Linked DNA regions of Canis lupus familiaris. The protein of the gene in region 1 interacts with the protein of each later gene in a biochemical or structural test. Links are inferred from orthologs where the notes say so. Each region holds a gene or a part of one and is shown on either strand. Other genes may lie near its edges. The genes, in order: ANXA7 and SRI.

The links.
Region 2: the proteins of ANXA7 (region 1) and SRI interact in a biophysical measurement, tested with the Homo sapiens proteins (2 studies listed by BioGRID and IntAct, with this or other methods). The link is inferred for Canis lupus familiaris from reciprocal best matches to the Homo sapiens genes ANXA7 and SRI.

What each region holds. Positions count from the first base shown.
Region 1 is NC_049225.1:24,692,094-24,696,612, reverse strand, and holds the start of ANXA7 (annexin A7), read left to right. Parts: upstream 1-1,618; 5' UTR 1,619-1,724; intron 1,725-3,958; exon of another isoform or gene 3,959-4,063; intron 4,064-4,519. UniProt on the Homo sapiens protein: Calcium/phospholipid-binding protein which promotes membrane fusion and is involved in exocytosis.
Region 2 is NC_049235.1:14,241,466-14,245,279, reverse strand, and holds part of SRI (sorcin), read left to right. Parts: intron 1-729; coding exon 730-773; intron 774-1,539; coding exon 1,540-1,687; intron 1,688-2,086; coding exon 2,087-2,200; intron 2,201-3,453; coding exon 3,454-3,512; intron 3,513-3,814. UniProt on the Homo sapiens protein: Calcium-binding protein that modulates excitation-contraction coupling in the heart. Contributes to calcium homeostasis in the heart sarcoplasmic reticulum. Modulates the activity of RYR2 calcium channels.

The DNA.
Region 1 (4,519 bases):
GTGTAAGCACTGATTTGATGATGGAAAAACCACTTGGATGTGCCATGGTTCAGACAAGATAATGCAAGTGCCAGCTAAAGTGATAGTAGGAGGCTTGGAAAGGAACAGGTGATTTCTAACAAGTGAATAGTGACAGTTTATAGATAGAGAATGAAAGTAAAATCTATAGAGTTTGGTTACTGATTGTGATGGGTGAAGTGCAATGTATCAGAATCAAATCAGGAGACAGAAGCCACACAGTAACAAGGGACACAAAAGTTTCCAACTTAGTAGGCTGGTGGTGAGAGTACCTAAGTCTAAATGCCTAGCTTCATGCTAACTGCTGAGAAATCTAAGATGGCTTCTGCCCTTAAAGTGTTTCCAACTTAATAGAAGGAGACTGACATCATTAAGCGCAATATATTTCCTTACTCAGCAAATGAAAAAATTTGCATTTTAAAAACCTTAGTGAAAATCCCTTAGGATAGTGCTATAATGGGATTCTAGCACATGCTCCTCTCAGCAGGTCTGTCAGAGCCATTTTTTCCCCCTCCAGTATTGGATATAAATCTCTGCTTATTTGATCACCAGATCAAATGTTAGTCTGGATTTTGGGGGCCATTCATTTGGGGGAATGATTTTTTCTAAAGAATAAATTGGGCTATGTCATTCCCTTGTTTCAACTTCTCCAAGAGCTTCCCTCTGAAACCAGAAAAAATCAAATTCCTGATGAGGAAGCTTTTGGGTGGAGAAGCATGTAGAGTAATAAGTTGATGGTTCTCAAACTTAAGTGTGCATTAGAACCACCTGGAAGGCTTGTTAAATTGCCAAGCTCCACCCCTAGGGTTTGATTCAACAGATCTAAGGTTGAGCCCCAAATTTGTATTTCTAACAAGTTTCCAGGTGATATTGCTGCTGCTGGTATGGGGACCACGCTTTGAGAACCACTGTAAAGGGAAGCTGGTTTTTGCTCTGGAATAAACTTTTTTAAGATTTTATTTATTCATGAGAGACACAGGGAGAGGCAGGCTCCCTGCAGGGAGCCCGATGTGGGACACGATTCTATGACCCCGGGTTCACGCCCTGAGCCCAAGGCCGACGCTTAACCACTGAGCCACCCAGGTGCTCCTGGAATAAACTTTCTTAATGAGTTTAAAATACCGGTCTGAGCCCTTGAAATTACGTAAGATATTTAATGCTAGTGTGGGCGTCAAATTTTAGGGCTCTAGTGTGAGGGAAGCCTCGTGTCACCCAACAACCCGTTTAGAGTGGTTTTGATTGACGTATCTCGATATCTGAGTAGCATCCCCAATAAGAATTAATTCATTTCATAGGGATCTAATAAAAGTCACGATCTTTATCCTTTACAAGGCCTCAGGGGAGGACAGTAAATCAGGCGGAGGGGCCGCACCTGGACGCCCAGCCGCCCATCACGGAAAGGGCTCCGGAATTTCTTAAAACCGCTGTGACTTGAGAGAGCCCCCAACGGAATTAGAGAAACGTGACAAAGCCGGCCGGTGCCCGGGCAGGCCGCGTCTCCCCACAGGTGGGGCTGCGGCGCGCGGACGACGCGACAGCCTCGGGCCCGGCGGGCGGCCCCGCCCCCCGCACCAGGGGCGTTCCCGCGCTCCCACCGGGCTCGGGCGGCGGCCGCGGCGCTCCGCCTCTGCGGGCCCGCCCCCGGCTCCATCTTGCTGGCGACCAGGGTCGGGCTGTGACGCTGTGACGCTGCTCCCCCGGGCCAGGTGAGGAACGGCGCCCCCTACCCCTCCCGCCCCCCTCCCGCGCGTCGCCTCGCTCAGGCCCGCTGAGGCCCGCGGTCCGGGAGGCGGCCGGGCCCGGCGCGTGTCCCCGCGGGGGGAGGGGGGTCGGCGGAGGGGCCTGCGGGGCGGGGGGCGGCTCTGCGCGCGTCTCGCGACCCGGGCTGCCCGGCGGGGGCGGGGGCGCGGCGGCGGGGCGGCTGGGCGGCTGGCCAGCCCGCGGATCCTCCGCGGCCCGAGGGTCAGAGGGAGCAGTGACACAGGTGGGGGTCTGAGGCCACGGCCCAGCTGAAGTGACCTCAAGGCAGGCTGAGTAGGGAAACCCGCAAGGAGCAACAACGAAAGCTGACGGGCGGGGATCCCCGGGTGGCTCAGCGGTTTAGCGCCTGCCTTTGGCCCGGGGCGTGATCTTGGAGACTCGGGATCGAGTCCCACGTCGGGCTCCCTGCCTCTCTCTGTGTGTCTCTCATGAATAAATGAAGTCTTAAAAAAAAAAAAAAATGGCTGGTGACTGGACTTTCCGGTGACACAGCAAATTTAGGGAAATTTGTCAGGCGCCTCACTAAGCCTAGGACAGAATGCCCAAGCCTCAGATTGTACATTGCCTCAAGGAGACTGTTCTGGGAGATAACATTCCAGATTGGATTCCTGGTCCCTGAACAGCAAGCGTCCCGAGAGAACACTTCCTCTGCAGAGAAAGAGAGAGATGGAATGTACCCCATCAAGTGACAGAAATGAGAAGTCCTGACGGCCTTTAGACTCCCTGGTTTATTCTATCTCGTAGGGACCTGATCTGATAACCTGCCCTAATGAGAGCTAATGAGTTACCTTTCAGACACGGAAGGAGTTTCAGGCACTAGTTGGCCGCTCCAAATTTAAGCTGCTTTTCGGTCCTCACTGATGGTGGCTGCCTACGCTCCCCTGAAGTCCCCGCCGGCCCTCCCTTTAGTTCTTCATCCAAGGGCCCTGACTGACAGATTTAAATTGTCCTTCCTGACCAAGAGGCGGGTTTCAGAAAGCTGTAGTATCTCCTGTTGGCCATCTTCTCTTCACTTGCCCTTCCTGTTTTGTATTTGTTTCATAGATCTGCAACAGCTGCCTCTTGTGTTCCTTGGACTTCTTGCCATCTTGAGACTCCTATAGTGAGACCCACCCCTTTTAGTAACTGACTCACTGGGTGGAGATGGTTTGGAGAACCAAGAATGATTTCTAGTCTTTTAAAAGTAGTTGCAGATCGAGAATGTTAAAAAGGAAATAAAAGGTCTTGTTTACCAGTATAGTCGTCTTTATTCCTTGGGCAAAATGAGTAATTTGTTGAGTCATCCTGGGATTTGTTTAGTTTTTTGCAAAGGCTTTTTAAATCCGCCTTTTGAGTAGATGATACATGCACAATTCCGAAAGAGCTAAAAGTACATTGAAAATTGAGTTTCCTTCCCATGATGCCTCAGCTCGCCTCCCTAGAGGCAGCTACTGGTTTCTGCTTTTCTGAGAATACTTTCAGGGATAGTCTCTTATACGTAGAAGCAAATATATCTTCTACGGTTATAGTTGCAGTTTATCTATGCAGGGTTCACCTGGCCTTTTTTCCACACTTAATATGATTTAGAGATGGTTTCATATGGATTTTAAAAAACTGAATTTTATTTTTTATTAAGTAATCTACGCCCAACATGTGGCTTGAAGTCAAGGACCATGAGGTCAAGAATCACATGCTCTACCAACTGAGCCAGCTAGGTACCCCAAAAGCTGCTCGTTTTTAATAGCTATGTAACACTTCATTGTCCGGAATCCATTCTACCTGTACTTTATTGATGGACTTTTATTTATTCTAAAGATTTTATTAGAGCGAGTGAGCATGAGCCAGGGATAGGGTGGAGGGCTCGAGAGAGAAGCAGACTCCCCGCTGAACAAGGAACATGAAGCAGAGCTCCATCTTGGAGCTCAATCCCAGGACTTTGAGATCATGATTTGAGCAGAAGGCAGCCACTTAACCGCCTGAGCCACGCAGGTGCCCCTTGATGGACTTTTAGATTGTTTTTAATGTCTTCTATTACAAATAGTGCTGTAGTGAAGAGCCTTGTACATGTGTAATTTTACATTTGTGCAAATAAGGTACATTCCCTGGAAATGAAATTGGATTCTAGGACTTTTATAATTACATTCTTCAGAATGTACCCAAATTCACCTTCTTAAATTTGCTTTAAGTTTTCTTATATGCAGTGCTTGCTTCAGCAGCACATATACTAACATTGGAATGATACAGAAAAGATTAGCATGGCCCCTGCACAAGTTTTCTTATATGCAGATAGTCTTTACTTCATTTTTATTGTGTTTTGAAACTTGTTGACATAATTTCTCTAGGCCTTTAGGGGTAAGATTTAATATAGTAGTTAAAGAATGTAGAAATAGGACTTTGTCACTGGAACAATTCCTGAGATTTAGAAATTTAAATGTAGTCTTTGGTACTGTTAACTAGTTGCCTTTAAAATTTTTCTCAAAATTATCAGATTTTTTTTCCCCTTTCTTTTGACACTGACTCTTTTGCCGTTGGTCCATCTGATTGTTCTAAGATGCTGTTGTCCTTTTATTCCTTATACCAAACATTCTTAGAGAAGAAAGGAAAAACTGATTTAGCCTCTTCCTATTTTCACATCTGAGCGTTTGAATTCCAAATGATTTAGAACTGACTGGATCAATTTTCTTACTATCTTTCCTATTAACTTATAATTTTGACCCAATATTGACCCAATATATGCCCATTCATTCTCAATTTAGTGTTT
Region 2 (3,814 bases), on another chromosome or scaffold:
AGACCTTTAAAAAGATGATTACATAGAAAGTGTTACACCTATCCAAGAACAGAGGTAATGATGCAGTGAACTTGTGTGCACCTGTCACCCAGTTTCAGTAATTATCAATGTGTTGCCATTGCTACTTAGTTCATCTGTAATTCTGTCCATTTTCTTTTGAAGTAAATTCCATATATCTTACAACATTCATTTCACCTAGAAATAACTTAAGTGTTTACTTTTCTAAAAGATAAGGACATTCTCCTCTCAATTTCAAAACCATTATCATACCTAAAAATATTAAGAGTATAGTGCAATACTTTTTAAAAAGATTTCTATTAAAGTTGTTAAAATCAAGTTTGTGTTCATTTTTTTGTTTTTAAGATTTTATTTGAGAGAAAGAGCATGAGAGTGGGTGAGGGGCAGAGGGAGAAGCAGACTCCCCACTGAGCAGGGAGACCGACATGGAGCTCAACCCCAGAACTCCAGGACTATGACCTGAGCTGAAGTCAAACGCCCAACTGACTGAGCCACCCAGGCACCTCTCAAATTTAGGTTCTACAAGGAATCCCCACTACCTGGAAAAAAATCTCCTTCAAAGCTCCATGTACTTTAGTTCTACATAAATTAAGTAGTATATAAAAGTAAGAGTACATAAATAGTCACTTTCCTAATTAATTTCAATGTATGCAATGTAATGTGAATTTTTGAAACTGTATTAATATGTATGTACTTTCTTTGATTTAACAGCTTTTAACCTGGAGACTTGTCGGCTTATGGTTTCAATGCTGGATGTATCCTTTGATTGCTGCTGGAAGGTTTTTTCCTGACCACCCCTCCCCCAAAAATTTTCTCCTAAAAGAATTCATCTAAGAATTAATACCCAGTAAATATAAGGTAACAAAAGACCACAAAGTTCTTGAAATCATTAACTTTTAACATGTAATTTGGTGCAAAAAGGGAAGGGAGTTTAGTAGATATAGTGTTGGTTATTCAGGAATTCAAGGAAGCATCAGAAGAGAACAAGTATAGAAATCAGGGTGAAATCAGGGTTTATCGTTGCTTTATCGTTGTTTGCCCCACGTGATTCACACCTGACCTTCACACTGTGGAATTTCTCACATCACAGTTATTAGACTCAGCTTAGCCTGTACTGATCCTGCAGTGCCTTCCATCCCACCTCATTTTCCAAAAGTGAAAGCCCCAGGTCTGGAAGGGCCTGCCAGGGGAGTGCCTGGACCCCAGCAGCAGTGCCGAGGGCACTCAGAAAGTGCAGTCGGGTTCCGGTAACGAGATCCCTTTCCACGTGTGGCCCACAGTGCCCACTTTACTCCCTTGTAATCACATCTCACAGGTGATCTGTACTCTGAGGTTTTTCACCATAGGCTCTTTTCATTATATGGTTAGAGTATCCTTTCATTGTATCACATCAAGAGGGACTTGTAACATTTTTAACCTTTTTAGCAGAAAGAATGTTAAACTCCCTTACCCTTGAGCTTTGGCTTAATCATTAGAAAATGTTGCCAAATAAAGGTGCTCTAATCCTTAATTACGGTTCAGAGAGATATGTCAGGCACAATGGGTTTCAATGAATTTAAAGAACTCTGGGCTGTGCTGAATGGCTGGAGACAACACTTCATCAGTTTTGACAGTGATCAGAGTGGAACAGTGGATCCTCAAGAACTGCAGAAGGCCTTGACCACAATGGGTGTGTATGGCTGACTCCAGCCACCGCAGACATCATTCTCCTTTCATTTCCAAAACCAAGTGTTACGGACTCCTAACTCTGGGAAATGAACTAGGGGTGGTAGAAAGGGAGGTGGGCGGGGCGTGGGGGTGACTGGGTGATGGGCACTGAGGGGGGGCACTTGGATGAGCACTGGGTATTATTCTATATGTTGGCAAATTGAACACCAATAAAAAATAAATTTATAAAAAAAAGGCAGTTTCTGTTTTCTAGAAGTAGTATATGTTCATAATGAAGTACATAATACATATGTAATTCCTAGTGTATATTCATAGTTAAAAATGAGTACTCCCAGACTGAAAAAATTGTGATGACTTTTAATGATCTTTTTCTTACACTTTACCTTTTTTCATTCCTCAGGTTTTCGTTTGAGTCCCCAGGCTGTGAATTCAATTGCAAAACGATACAGCACCAATGGCAAGATCACCTTTGATGACTACATCGCCTGCTGTGTCAAACTGCGAGCCCTGACAGGTGTGTTCTTTGAGGTGGTGTTCACCAGGGTGTTTGTAAAGTGTTTCTGAACTTCTGTTGCCCACAATCTTTTCTCCCCCCTAACCTCAGTGGCTTTTTAAACACTGCTAGTAAACGTGTCTAGCAGAATAACTTTTTTTTTTTTTTTTTTTTTCAGAAATCCTTTCAGATTAGTGGTAAACTGCTTTTAAAATAATCTTAACTAGGGACTCCTGGGTGGCTCAGTGATTGAGCATCTGCCTTTAGCTCAGGGCGTGATTCCCGAGACCCGGGATCAAGTCCCATATCAGGCTCCTTGCGTGGAGCCTGCTTCTCCCTCTGCCTATGTCTCTGCCTCTTTCTGTCCCTCATGAATAAATAAATAAAATCCTTAAAAAAAAATCTTAACTGAATTTCACAAAAATGTTCCAAAACATGATCAGCTAATTTGTGCATTTTTTTATCAGCATATGAGCGGTACTCTGTGATTCCTCCCTAGAATATAAAATATTTGAAGAGAGTGAAATTACTCATTAGCTCTCTCTCCTAATTCCTTCTGTTGGAAAGTAGTTTAAAGCTGTGGTCATCTGTTTCAAATGTATGGACTGCTTAGATGAGGTTGTATCAGTAATCTCTACTTTCTATTTCCTTTGTTCTTTTTCTTTTTTCTGTATATTTTTCTATTTTTCTTGTTCCATTCCTCTCTTTAGTTTCTCTCTTTTTTTTTCGAGGCTTGAACTTAGGACCCTGAGATCAATACCTGAGCTGAGATCAAAAATCAGATACTTAATTGACTGAGCCACCCAGGCACCCCAGTCTTTACTCTCTTTAATACCTGGGTTTGTAATTTCTTTTGCATCCTAACAAAAGTATGAGGCCAGGTTTTTTGTTTTTGTTTTTTTTTTAATTAAAGTAAATCCTTTTCAATAGCACAGAGCTCAGAGGGGTGGAATATTTTTTATAGCCCATTTGCCATATTAGGAACTCCATCCATCCATTTTCCTAAACACTATCTGTGTTATTAAGAAGTTTGTAGTTTGGAGGCATCTGTGTGATGGAACAGTATCATCTGTTATTTCTGCACTGTATTACTCTGTTGTATATTAAATCTATCCACGTTATTATAGTTGGCTTCTTTACTGTGGGCTTTTGTTTATGTTGGCTGATTTTACAACTCAAATACTACTGCAGTTTGAACCCAATGCCAAAATAATTTACTGTTGTGATGTCAGATGTTTAAAAATAACCATAGATTTTACTGTGGTGTTTTATAGACAGCTTTCGAAGACGGGATACTGCTCAGCAAGGTGTTGTGAATTTCCCATATGATGATGTAAGTCTCACTAAATTCGGAACTGTAAAGATGAATAAGATGTACGCCAGTTGGGCATCCGTTTTGAAGTTAGCCATGAAGAGCATCTTAAGGATGCTGAGTAATCAAGGATTAAATGATTAGGAGTTACCATTCAGAATTTATTAATTTCATTTATTACTAGTCTTACTCATATAGTTCACTTTGACTTTCATTAAAAGACTTGGTTCGGAGCCCAGCTGGTCCCATTTACTGGCTGGGTCACAGAGATAGGTTTCATCATTGCTCTGAGAATATTTGAGGAGAGAAAGTAATAATACCTC